Arabidopsis thaliana: one gene and its partners. The protein of the gene in region 1 interacts with the protein of each later gene in a pairwise test. Each region holds a gene or a part of one and is shown on either strand. Other genes may lie near its edges.

Region 1 (4,839 bases):
GGGAATAATGTGTTCGTTCTCCCATAGTCTTTGGAAAAAAAGGGTAACCTATTCTCGTACTTTGTTGTCTAGTGTAAACTCTAGTTAAAGCTGTCACATTTGAACCTGAATTAGTAATATTAAGGAAAAGGAACTCAATGGTTTGTGTGTTGTTATATATTGGATTCAAGCTTTGATTCATTGAATGGAATTTTAGTGTTTGGTTTACGACCTCTGTTAGTTAATAATCATAGACACCATTTCCTTCTTTAGATGGGTTAGTTTGGTTCTAATCAGGGAAAGCCATTAATTTTTCCATCTAATCATTGTAGAAACCTTGCAATATTGTGTATATGTAAACATACACAATCGTAAATGTTTGGATATCAAACTCTTCACAAGTGTTTGTAGGAGAGGAAGTATAGGTGAGAAAAGATTAGGGTCAGTCACAGATTCTGCAAAAAGTAAGAGAACCATGAAAGTAAAATAAAACATAAACCCAGAAATAGAAACCATTCCCTTCAATTAAGCAAATGAGTTCTCTTTCCTTTTCTCTTCTTATGTGTATATATAGAAATGAATAGCTTAAATTTTCCCACAAAAGCCAAAGAGACCCAAATTATTGTTTTATTTTGTTTTTGTTACCTCGCTTATATCTATTATCATGGAAAACATAAGTGGGTTGGCTTTTGATATGGGAGAGCTAAGAAACAACCTTCCCAAAAAGTAAAATCCTGAAAAAGGATTTCATTGATTATGATTGTTTGTTTAAGTTATGGAAATCCGGATTACTATCTAATTTTGGATTTTGTGAATGGTTGTAAAATAGGAGAGGATTATCAAGGTACTATTCAGGAAAAGCGAGATCATTCATATGTATCTCAGATGTAAAATGCCTTGAGGATCTGAAGAAACCAACCCAAACTTTTGATGACGATGATGATGATGAGGCTTACAAGAAGAGGAAGAAGAAGAACAAGCAATCATCTTCATCTTCATTTTCTGCAGCTATTAACAGCAATGTGAATTTCTCAAACTACCCTTGTCGAAGGGTCTCTAGTAGCACCCACTGTTCCTCACCTTGTGTTGCTTAGGAAAAAAGAAGCTTACACTTTCTCAATTTATTTAGTAGCTCCTTTGGTTTTTATTCTCAACCCAACACTGAAAACACAAACTTCAGTTCAGTGTGTGGGGGCGTCATTCATATCCAATTTTTGATTTTCTTTACTGTTTTTATGTCTTTTTTTTGTGGTTATCTTTTTTTCTTGCGCAAATTATGTAGATTTGGATGTGTTTGTTCCAATTTGCTTATTGGGACAAAAATGTTGGAAATCCTTTCGAATGTAATCATACGTACGCATAGAATTGAATAATAAGTGAATAAATATAGAATTGAAAGGTTCTTAAAATATTCCTTAGCATTTCCTATTTATCTGAAAACATGCAACACACAAAGACAAAGTCAGGACAAGTCATAATGAGTAATTGCTTACGTGGCTAATTTTACATGATTCACGACAAAAGGGAGCGGCCTAGAGGCGCGTATCACACACGCGCTTCCACTTAAAAGCTGACGTGGTCAATTGGCTATCTGACATTCTATTTACCCATTTTCTCCCTTTCTTTCCTCTATATTCACGATCCTGCCATTGTACACCCAATCATACGCTCCTGAGATCCTCATGACTTGTTCTTACCGTACTCCGCGAGACATGCGATTGATGATTCTTGACTGTATTCATTGAGAAAAACTGTTCGCAAAAACCTTGAGCTTCATCATCGTCCATTACTCACCTTTCAGTTTCAGATGCCCAAGCAAAAAGCTCCAAGGAAGCAGCTCAAGTCCTATAAACTCAAACACATCAACAAGAGTATTCAAGGTACGTCTGACTTGTTCATCCTCAATTTGAAATTCGTGGATATTGAAAGTGAATCGTTCGATGTTGTTTTGTGGTTAAAAAGAGGGAGATGCTGTGTTGATGCGGTCGTCGGAGCCTGGAAAACCGTCGTACGTAGCGAGGGTAGAGGCGATCGAGACGGACGCGCGTGGATCGCACGCGAAAGTTCGTGTGAGGTGGTATTATCGCCCTGAGGAATCTATCGGAGGGAGGAGACAATTCCATGGAGCCAAGGAGGTTTTTCTCTCTGACCACTTCGATTTTCAAAGCGCCGATACGATTGAAGGAAAGTGTAAGGTTCACAGTTTCAGTAGCTACACCAAACTTGACTCTGTTGGAAACGACGACTTCTTCTGTCGTTTCGAGTACAATTCCACTACCGGCGCGTTTGATCCTGACAGAGTCACCGTGTATGTGTTCCTACGACTCTCTGTTACTTTATTCGAGAAGAAAATACTGATTGAATGATGGAACTATTATCGGTTGAATTGAGGCTTTTTTGGAAATTAGATTGTGTTGCTTTAGTGTAGGCATTGATTGTTAATAATTCATTGATTTGTCATCTAAATTGGTTTCATGAAGTTGTTTTTGCAAAGAGAAGTAATCAATTGAGTTTAAATTGATTTTTTCTGTTTGCAGGTTCTGCAAGTGTGAGATGCCGTATAACCCAGATGACTTGATGGTGCAATGCGAGGAGTGTTCTGAGTGGTAAGTGTTCACTTATTTGAAACTCTGTTTTAATCTTCTTGAGTCACAATCTGGAATTGCTCGTATGTTTTTCGTGTATCCATGAGGTCCTAGTTGATATGCTATTGAGGTTGCTTGAGATGAATGCTTTTGTCATGCTTTACTTCGGTGATGCTCTTCCTTACTCATGTTCATGTTTTGTCTTATCTGATATTGTGGAAACTGCAGATGAATAGGAACATAAGCTGATACTCTAGTCTGAACGTTTGTAATATCTGTGATTAACATTCTAATGTATATGTTGCGGATTTTCAAATTTTCTTACACGTTACTGATTGAGTCGCTGTTAAGGTTTGGGTTTTTCTGCAGCTTCTTAGTTTGTGCCTTGGGTCTTTCACCCATGTTAGCTTGCTATATGACACAAGTAACGTAAATGAAGTCATACTGAAACAAATAGTGATCGTTTGATCTTGGAAGTTGGAACTGTTAAGTGTTAAGCTTAATCTTTTTACTTTTTTTTTTGTAAAGAGAGGATTAAGGTTTTTTGTTTCGAATGTCTTTGTCAGTTGCCTTTGATGTTACAGCAAACTAACATTGGCTCAGGTTTCATCCTTCTTGTATAGGAACAACAATAGAGGAAGCTAAAAAGCCAGATAACTTCTACTGCGAAGAGTGTTCCCCACAACAGCAGAATTTGCACAACTCTAATTCAACTTCCAATAACAGAGATGCTAAGGTATTTCTCTATTTCTCATTTCAGAAAATATCTTTAGTTTTTGAGGGATGGTCAAACCCGTTGCAAATAGGCTTGAATAAATTTAAGGTATTTAAGTTGACCGTTCGTTCCACATATAAAGCTAGCCTTGCCAACAATTGTAAGCTCTTGGACTGATAAAATATACCAACTTAAGGCAGAATAAACACATAAACCCAAAGTATATGTGTCATTAAGGTCAAAGACAACCTTGTGAAATGTTTTGTCCTAACTAACAGGTGAATGGAAAGCGCAGCCTGGAGGTAACTAAATCGAAGAACAAACACACTAAGCGACCAGGTTAACATAAACTTGTAAAGGCTATAGATATCTGGTTGGTGAGTCTGAGTATCAATCGTGTAATCTACAAAGGTGGTTTTGTTTTCTTTCCCTCTCTAGTTTTTTCTTTCTTAAAAAATGAGGGTTTAGGTTTGTTGGCTTGATTGTTGTATAATTTATATGTATAGCGTATGGTGGTTTCTCATCTCCTTTAGTTGTCACATATAAAATTTGGGTAAAATGGTTTGTTTATAATAAGAAAACAAAACAAACAAACAAACAAAGAGAGTGTTGGTTCCTTATTTGTTTGTTTTCATTGTGAACTCTAGAAACCCTTCATTCTTTATTAGTTTTTCATTCTTTATTAATTCTAAAACGCATATTCAAAGAGACATATTTGATCATCGTGTCTTCATAATTTGGTTCAAAGTACAGCCAAAAACCAGGAGGTACACTAAAAATCAATAAAATTACATTACAAATTATTTTTAGTACACTGGGAACATAAATAAATGAATCAGAGAAGAGAAACATGGCAACTACCGATCATGAGCTTCTACATTTGTCTCAGAAAAAGAGGAAGATAGAACTATTTTTTAAAGTTTTTAGAAAAGAGAGAATTAATATTATCCAAGACAACACGGCACTGCTAACAACAAGTTGAACCTATCCCATTCCATTACTCCATACCCATTCAATGATTAACACGTGGTTCTACATCATTGGTTAACTCTCTCCTTTCCCCTTGGATAAGGCATCTTAAAATAATAATAAATACCATAAATATCTTCCGATTTTTTCTCCGACTATAATAATGATGACAACAATATCTTTTAAAATTATCTTAAAAGAAACCGAAAGCTAATCTCCAAAGGGAAAAAGACGTGTAGCAGAGACCTATACATACACCTATACATTCACGTTGCGTGTGATAATCTACTGAGGGTTCTATCTATATTAATCCTTCTCTGCTTCCTTCAATCTAATTGCAAATCAAATGGATCGTCTTAAGCTTTATTTCTCCGTTTTCGTTTTGTCTTTCTTTATCGTCTCGGTTTCGTCGTCTGATGTCAACGACGGCGATGATCTCGTGATCCGTCAGGTGGTTGGTGGAGCCGAGCCTCAGGTTTTGACCTCAGAGGATCACTTTTCTCTCTTCAAGCGGAAGTTCGGGAAGGTCTACGCTTCCAACGAGGAGCATGACTATAGATTCTCGGTTTTCAAAGCGAATCTCAGGCGAGC
Region 2 (3,985 bases), 8.2 Mb from region 1:
TAGAGAAATGTAAAATATATCTCTCTCTTTTTGGTTAACCAAGGTTTACTAATCCGATATACAAGAATGACATGCAAATAAACATAGGGTTAAGTTGTAAAGTAGTCAGATATTTAAACTTAATTATGGAATTGGGCAAATTACTATTTATAATTGGATTTTTAGTCACTAACCTTTGACCCTATTACAGACAAAATCAAATATACCCCATACCAACTCTATTATTTACAAATATGCCACTAATCTTCTTCTTCTCCAATGTCGTTGAAAGCAATTGGGATTTGTGCTTTTAGATTCAACATTTCTCTCTCCTCATACTCACATTCTTTGTATTTCTTTATATATATATATATATATATATATATATATATATATATATATATATATATTTATTTATTTTTTAATAACCTCTTCAATCTAATAATTGAAATGCTTATCAATGTAAATTTATTTTCTAAATTAATTCAGATACATAAAAATCTATATTTTTTCTCTATAATTTGATATGCATTTTGTTAATAATTTTAAATATATTATATAAACATTTTTATTAGTAGTCAGTACAGTTAATTATGTGTACAGATTTTTATTTATACAACTTATTTAATAAGTACAAATTGAAATCGTCCAGCCATAATTGGAAAAATAGTCATTTTACTATTCACAATTTGCAAAGTAGTCACTTTTAACTGTTTGATTCGTACACTTAGATCTGTACAACATTTTTTAGTGTACAGATGTAAGTGTACGTTGTGTATATTTATATATATATATATACACTAAAAATATTGTACAGGTCTAAGTGTACGAATCAACAGTGAAAAGTGACTACTGATAATTGTATACTCCATACAATTATATACTCTGTACAGCTAATGCAACGTACAAAATAAAGTCTGTACACATAATTAAGTGTACCGACTACTGATAAAATGTCTGTAATATATTAAAAATATTAACAAAATGCATATCAAATTATAAAGAAAAATACATAGATTTTTATGTATATGAATTAGTTTAGAAAATAAATTTATATTGATAAGTATTTCAATTATTAAATTGGAGGGGTTATTAAAAAGAAATAAAAAAAAAAAGAATATTTCACTTTTATCTTTCTTCTCTGTCAAAAGGATAGTTCGGTAATTTCAAAACACATCACTTACCCCACCCCAAACTTCTATTTCACGCTCGTCTATTACACGCCCAAAGTGAGTTACATGTTTTGTCAAGTGTAAATAGTAACTTGCCCAACTCCATAATTATGTTTTCAAAAGTGACTAATTTGCCAACACACCTATAAACATATCGTTTTACAAAACGAAACGACGTCTTATGAAATTAAAAAATAGAAAAATAAGTTTTGATTAATTATAGGTGATAGTATTATTGAATCATTGATGTGTGAAGTGTGAACAAGTCTAACTTTAGAGACCAGGTAGGTCCACTTTCTTTTTGAATTTTGGGAACTCTTAAGACAAGCAATGTCTTTATCCGCTTTCGGTGTGTCGAGTTATTTTTTCTTCTGAATATTAACGGCACTGACTATTATAATACTGTTTGTTTATTCTACAGAAAAATTCATCAACATATTTTAAGCTATGATTAAATTTGCCTCACAAAGTTTCGCAACCTTTGTGCTATAAATATCATTCACCCCACAACCATTCAACACTCTACCAACCTTCTCTTCTTCTCTCCGATCTTAATCACTCTCCTAATCAATACTCACTAATAACTTTTTTTTTTTTTTGGTCTTGTATAGCTAATAAGTCAGAGAACCCTTTTCCTCAGTCAGACTCTTTGACCCGCAGCAATTAGCTCTTCCACCAACTGCTCTTCGTTATTTCTGAATTGTACCTTAAGTTTGTTTCTATTTTTTTTCTTAGGTGTTAGATATATTTTTAAAAAGAGAATTTTGGATAATTCGTTTTTTTTTTTGTAAACATACAATCTCTTTCAGACAATGATATTGTCACAAAAAGGATGCAATCAAAGTGAGTTGCAACTTATTTTCAAAAACAAATTGAATGTCGAAAAAAGTTTATATTTTTAGATTTTCCAAATAGTCAATAGATATTTAGTTAAATATTAGCTTTCGACAACTCTCTTGTGTCGCAAGCTACAAGTGTGAATTTTGCAAATGGGGAGTTCATGTTTGCCTCCAGGATTTAGATTTCATCCAACTGATGAAGAGCTCATAGGCTACTACTTGAGTAGAAAAATAGAAGGTCTCGAGATTGAGCTTGAAGTCATTCCTGTTATCGACTTATACAAATTTGATCCTTGGGAGTTGCCAGGTAATTTGAAAAGGAAAACAATTAGATTTTTATCCATAAATTTATATTTAAATAAAACTAAATTTGTTTGATTTTATCTTTGAATTTTAGGTAAATCTTTCCTTCCAAATAGAGATTTGGAATGGTTCTTTTTCTGTCCAAGAGACAAAAAATATGCAAACGGTTCTCGAACCAATAGGGCTACAAAAGCGGGTTATTGGAAAGCAACTGGTAAAGACCGGAAAATCACTTGTAAATCATCGCATGTTATAGCTGGATACCGAAAAACCTTAGTTTTCTATGAAGGTCGTGCCCCATTAGGCGACAGAACTAATTGGTTTATGCATGAATATCGTCTATGCGATATTGATGATCATTCACAAAAATCACCAAATTTCAAGGTAAGAAAATTAGAGTTCGTTTCATTTGATCCAACTTCATAATATTCATTTTTATGAACTAATGGAACGAAGCCTAAAAACCATATATATGTTTGAATTTTAGGGAGCTTTTGCGTTATGTCGCGTAGTTAAGAAGAATGAACTGAAGAAAAATTCGAAAAGTTTGAAAAATAAAAACGAACAAGACATTGGTTCTTGTTACTCTAGCCTCGCGACCTCTCCTTGTCGCGATGAAGCGTCGCAGATTCAATCGTTCAAGCCTTCTTCTACTACAAACGACTCTTCAAGCATTTGGATTTCTCCTGATTTCATCCTTGATTCGTCAAAGGTACCTACATCTATTATCTAAACCAAAATAGTTTTTGTATAGACAGTAGTGGTCTGATATGTGTTTTTGGTTTTGTGATTTTAAATATAGGATTATCCTCAGATTAAGGAGGTTGCTTCTGAGTGCTTTCCCAACTACCATTTTCCGGTCACCACGGCAAACCACCACGTGGAATTTCCGGTGAGCTCTTGTTATTTCAATGTGGACCAGGACATTGATCAGTCGATGCAAACCGGTTATTGGACAAATTATGAAAATGACCAAACCGGTTCATTTGACTACTCAAACCTTTTTTAGCTACAAGAAATGTTGGTTCGTTCTTAGGACAAAAACGCCTTTTAACGTTGGTGTCTTGGAACTTGGAAGAAGAAGAAGAACTAGTTGTGAACGTCTATCATTTTCTTTTGAGAATTTAATTATCTTACTCTTGGTTTTTATTTTAGTTTTATATATATTGTTTGCTAATATAAGGAATGAGTATAATAAATTCCTTATTTAAAGTTTTTTCGTATGAAGATTTACGTTATTATAGAGTCTTATTTTAATGTTCCGATACCTTTGATATGATATATGCAAAGAGAATCAATCATGTTCTTCTCAATCATTAATTGGACCAAACTTATATTATATAAAGCAACTTATGTAGAAGTCATAACAATCATTTGCATTAAAAATCCAATATTTTGTCTATAAAAGCAATAGTTTCGGGACCATTTTGACATTTCAAAAGTTTATGTAAACAAAATTCCATAAATATGCAGAGATTAAAATCAAAAACTATGTGACGCAGCAATTTGTTTACAGATGTATGAAAATCCCAAAAGCTTGCATTTCTCAATTGTTAGAGACCTTTCAAACAAAATTCTTTTTTCCATGAGCTTTCTACATTTCATTCTTTTAAAATTTATAAGAATATTTCTTCCTCTTGAAAATGATCTACGAAATACTTTTGATATATAGTCTATATGATTTACAAAATG
Region 3 (4,629 bases), on another chromosome or scaffold:
AGTTCAGATAAGAAATAAAAACTAAATGAACCGTAAAACACAAAGGAGGCTAAGATGTCTATGAATTTCTCTGGCATATGTGCAATAAGGAAGAGCTTCAAGGAATCTTGAACTAAGAGAAGGCTTCAAAGGCTAGACCTCTTCAAGTTCCCCTGTCTTATTATTGACCGGACTATGAAGTTTCTAGGAAGGTTATATAGGCAAAAGTTTATTCCTAACTCTTAATTCATAATTCTGATTGCGATGATTTTTGGTTTGCTAGATAGTTTAGTAAAAGAGCCTTACCATCCAAACTTGTGATCAATATTGGTAACCGTGAACGTCTTCATTAGGGTGAATATTTGAATATCTTTGTTTTCGGGTTACACATAACAACCCGAAAAGTTGTTGCATTTGGCTCGGAATACATCTTGTATAAAAATTTGTCTTTACTTTTTAGTTTTGTAAATCAATAGTATGATTGGTAGTCTATTCGTTTTGTGGAAACAACTTCAATTTGTATTTCATCAGACAATATATATGCATTCAAGTAGAAAATCAAATCGAGTAAATTTGTAGCATAATTAAGTAGAGTGGTCAATATAATAATACGATACATGATAAAAGTCTTGAAAACATTCCACACACAATAAGCCTAAGCACTACTGATCACACAATCCATATTTCTTTAGGCTTTAAAATACATAACTAAGAAACATGACAGTTTAAGGTTTTAGCAACACCATGCCTTATGTTTTAAGTAGTTACTAAATAATTAGATAGACAATGATGGCACCAGCAAACCTTTTAGCCTTTAATTATTCAAGAAGATGGAAGGTAATGATGTCAGAGGCAGAGGGTGCATGAAGGCCATGGTTGGGGTAATAGTGGTGATGGTTCTGGTGGAAACGAAGAGCGTAAGCACGTGACCCTTCGATTTGGTATCCAAGAACTGAGTCGTAATCTCCTCCATTGTCTACTAGTCCATAGTGAGGATCTTCAGCTCTTAGTTCCTAATTCACCAAAACATGTTTTAAGCCATATTCCACATAACTAAAACCAATATTATTAATTCGAAATGACATGACATTTGATATATGATTTAACTAGGAGATATTTCGATAAGAGAATCACAAGAAAACATAAGAGTGACTGATCAATCTACACTACATTTCTAGATATCTTTTTAACTGGCTCCGTATTCCATGAATGTATTATGCCTAAACCAACATTTGAGAAAAACAGAAAGAGATATTACCAGCTCATGTATGAGATTCTTTTGTATGTCTTGTTGACTTTTGTTCTGCAATTGTGTAAACCACAAGAGAAATGATGAAGAAATATTCCCTCCCAAAAAAATTATGAAGATATATACCCAAGTTATTATGACATCACTATATAGTATACTTGGTATTTTCTTTATCCATTAGCTTAAACACACACACACACACACAAATATAATTGTCCAAGAAAAGTGTTATCAACAGTTTTAGTAAGTTGATAAATTCAATTGACACAAAATTGTTGAGACAAATAAATATGATAAAATGGAAAAGTGAGTGGACATAGAAGATGTGACCTTTTTCTTGGTGGTCTCGATCTGATTCCCAAGAGATTTGAACTGTACAGTACAATACAATTAACATATATTATCCAACAGTAAACAAAATGTTTCTTTTTCTAAAACATATATACAACAATAAAATTCATTTTTTAATAATTCAATTCAAAACTGAAGCTTGGGTATATAGGATTAATTGAAACCCTAGGTAAGGGAAAAGTATGAAGAGAACCTTGCGCTCGCGAACGAGTTTGAAAGTGTTTTCCATTTCATCCTCAAGACGACGCAGCTCCTGAATGTCAAGCTCGTCCAAACACTCACCTAGCCTCTGCCTACAATTTTAAAAATATGTATATTTTCGTACTCATTTTTTTTAGTAAAACTCCTCATCTAAGAGAAGAGAGAGAAACAAATACTTGATCTGAGTCCGGAGATTTCTATTTGTCTCCAACAGTTTCCTCTTGGTTTCTTGCATTCGCTGCAGCAAAACGCATCAAGAATTTAACCAACCAGCGAAACACATATCAAGAAGAAGAAGAAAGATCTAAGAAGGAAAAAAACCTCATATTGAGTGGCCCAAACATCGACATCAGAAATAGTTTGGTACAGATCTACGATCTCCTTCGTTCTATAACCAACAAAATCACCAAAAAAGTAGTGGTTAATTATAAGAAAACAAAGCAACTCAATTAGCTTAATTTAAGAGTGGTGTTTAGAGAGATGGTGTACGTGGTGTTAGGGCTGATATACTCATGAAGCTTGTTGGAGCTAGAGAACATGATAATCGAAACCCTAGCATCACACAAAACCGTGAGCTCATGTGCTTTCTTGAATAAACCATTTCTTCTCTTTGAATACGTCACTTGTCTGTTTGTCTGGTTCTCTATCCTCTTGATCTGGATCTTCCCTCTCGCCATATTCTTCTCTCTTTGTTTAATCTTTTTGTTGAAGAGATTTGGTGGAGAGGACAAGAGATATAATGAGAAGAAAGAAGTGAAATAGAAAGAGAGAGATGGAGTTGAAGAAGTAAAGGGTCCACTTGAGTTACTAAAAATGGAAAGTATTGCCTAATCCATGAAAGGTAAGTTCAGAAGTTGATGAAAACTAAGTGATAAATTTTCCATTTATGTAAACTGATTTTTTTAATTACAAGACACTGTTTAAATCAACGGACATCGATGGTTGTATAATTACAAGACACTGCTTAAATCAATTGTCACTTGGTAAAAGAGGGGGACCAAAGCTAAAAACTTGGTTTGCTTTTCGTCAATTTATTAACGGAGCTCCGTTAGCTTCTACTTTGTTTTTGTTTAGACGGTGACAAACTTAACGGCGTTTGTAAACGTCAAATCAGTGCAGGTGGATTTGGTTGGCTTTTTACACTTACCCTAAAGTAAACAAAAGTGTTTAGGTGTGAACAAGTTTTTATATTGGTGTTAAAAGCCAATATTCTACTTTTGTCTGTTAATTTGGGAAATAAGAAGAAAGAGATATATATGTTTGGATTAATCGTCACTTCCATCTAACTCAAATCTTTTATATGTTTCCCCAAATGATTACAATAATTTCCCGGATTTGCCTTTAACTAAAGATCCTTGGAAAATAGAATATTACCCCTAGGGTTTAAGAAGGAATCACAAGTTAGGAGAAAAGTCTTTGTTTGTAGATAATGTTTGGTCCTAACTCCAAACAGTCCATCAAATCAGATATATGATGAAACTCTTTTTTCTTTTTGCTTCGACCAGTTAGTGTTGTTTCAAAACTAAGTTGGCCACAGTTACTGTTGTTTTGAAACTAACATGGATTGATCTTAGTTCATCATCAATTTTCAAGCAATGGAAATCAGTGAGTGAGTCACGAAAATGGAAACCTATCCTTTATACTGATAGGATATCCAAAGAACTTGTGTATCAACTTCACAAGAACAATCATTCTTCGCTTAAAACACAAATTCAGATACAAGAGACTTGTATTTTCATTTCAACGCCTTAAAACAGGGTCAACTATGCATGATGCGGAACTAAAGATGTATTAAAAGATCTACAAGACGTGTTCCTATGGCTAAGGTACATTACACAAGAGATGCATCATTCATCTACACAAACAACACGCACTCTTGATCTGGTCTCAGTTCACTTTCCCTCTTCTCTTCAGGTACTCTTGCATGCAACTTTGGTTTGTTTCAAATATAAAAGGCATTCCCCGTATCTGCGCGCACATATATCGGGTTTAAGTACGGACCTAGAAGCGTAAGTAATGATCATAAAAGAGTATCCCGGATCAAACCTCAACTAGACAATCGGATTTGAGGATTAAACTCTGTCCAGGATCTACTTCCTTCTCATTTACTGAGATTGAATACTTCCCCAGGTTTTTTATATGAAACGAACCGTCATCACCCAGCCGTATGATCGCCTGCATTCAGTAACCCAAAAAGGAAAAAAACATACACAACAACCATTACAGATCCTGGGCTGCTGCTTCTCATACAACTTAAAGACCTAAAATACAAATAGAAGTATCTACTATTGACCGACCTGTCGTCGAGATATTTTGCTACCCCGCTTTTCTCTTCCCAAATCAATGTCCACAGCGAGGTCTTCTGTTGATCTACCCACCAAAACCTATGTTAAGAAAAAAGAACCCCGATATCAACAAGTGCTACTATAATTCTTAAGAAGCTTATCAAATCATACAAGGAATATTAAACGAATAAGATAATATTACCTCAGGCTTCTTGATATAGTGTTTTGAATATCTGCCATATAAAACAGCGAATGCACCACGGGAAGCAATGGCTCTTTGCATATATGAATGAGCAGCCTGCTCAAGTCTTATGATTGTTCTTTTCATGTCTTGGCTCTGATACTTGGAGACTGCAAGTGAAAACATTTTAGGGATTTACAAACAAGCCTTAAACCTCTTCTAACATCTCATACGCTACCCATAGAAAAGGTTTCCCACATCACTGCAGCATGTAATAACTTTTAGGAGCCAAATGCCGAAATACATTCCTATTCACATACTAAAAGCTTTCTTTTCCCAAAAATGTAGATAGATAGAAAGAAACATGAGTTCCACTGGACGAG

What was found. The genes of interacting proteins can lie anywhere in the genome.
Region 2: the proteins of SHL1 (region 1) and NAC071 interact in a two-hybrid assay, tested with the Arabidopsis thaliana proteins (one large-scale study listed by BioGRID).
Region 3: the proteins of SHL1 (region 1) and AP3 interact in a two-hybrid assay, tested with the Arabidopsis thaliana proteins (one large-scale study listed by BioGRID).

Annotation. Positions count from the first base shown.
Region 1 is NC_003075.7:18,217,082-18,221,920, reverse strand, and holds SHL1 (PHD finger family protein / bromo-adjacent homology (BAH) domain-containing protein), read left to right. Parts: upstream 1-1,596; 5' UTR 1,597-1,786; coding exon 1,787-1,859; intron 1,860-1,941; coding exon 1,942-2,287; intron 2,288-2,516; coding exon 2,517-2,585; intron 2,586-3,167; coding exon 3,168-3,300; intron 3,301-3,557; coding exon 3,558-3,623; 3' UTR 3,624-4,292; downstream 4,293-4,839. Other genes in the region: RD19 (Papain family cysteine protease), read left to right, coding at 4,595-4,839. UniProt on the Arabidopsis thaliana protein: Chromatin remodeling factor that binds to methylated histone (e.g. H3K4me2/3) to prevent their acetylation (e.g. H3K9K14Ac), likely by recruiting histone deacetylase (HDAC) complexes, and thus regulate the transcription of target genes.
Region 2 is NC_003075.7:9,978,194-9,982,178, reverse strand, and holds NAC071 (NAC domain containing protein 71), read left to right. Parts: upstream 1-1,623; 5' UTR 1,624-2,140; coding exon 2,141-2,297; intron 2,298-2,387; coding exon 2,388-2,677; intron 2,678-2,780; coding exon 2,781-3,005; intron 3,006-3,095; coding exon 3,096-3,302; coding exon of another isoform or gene 3,303-3,329; 3' UTR 3,330-3,476; downstream 3,477-3,985. UniProt on the Arabidopsis thaliana protein: Transcription factor involved in tissue reunion of wounded inflorescence stems. Required for the division of pith cells in the reunion process, which is dependent on polar-transported auxin and the wound-inducible hormones ethylene and jasmonate.
Region 3 is NC_003074.8:20,118,631-20,123,259, forward strand, and holds AP3 (K-box region and MADS-box transcription factor family protein), read right to left. Parts: upstream 2,685-4,629; 5' UTR 2,458-2,684; coding exon 2,270-2,457; intron 2,169-2,269; coding exon 2,102-2,168; intron 2,019-2,101; coding exon 1,957-2,018; intron 1,873-1,956; coding exon 1,773-1,872; intron 1,601-1,772; coding exon 1,559-1,600; intron 1,283-1,558; coding exon 1,238-1,282; intron 993-1,237; coding exon 798-992; 3' UTR 510-797; downstream 1-509. Other genes in the region: emb1967 (Forkhead-associated (FHA) domain-containing protein), read right to left, coding at 3,668-3,748, 3,827-3,955, 4,078-4,164, 4,268-4,416. UniProt on the Arabidopsis thaliana protein: Probable transcription factor involved in the genetic control of flower development. Is required for normal development of petals and stamens in the wild-type flower.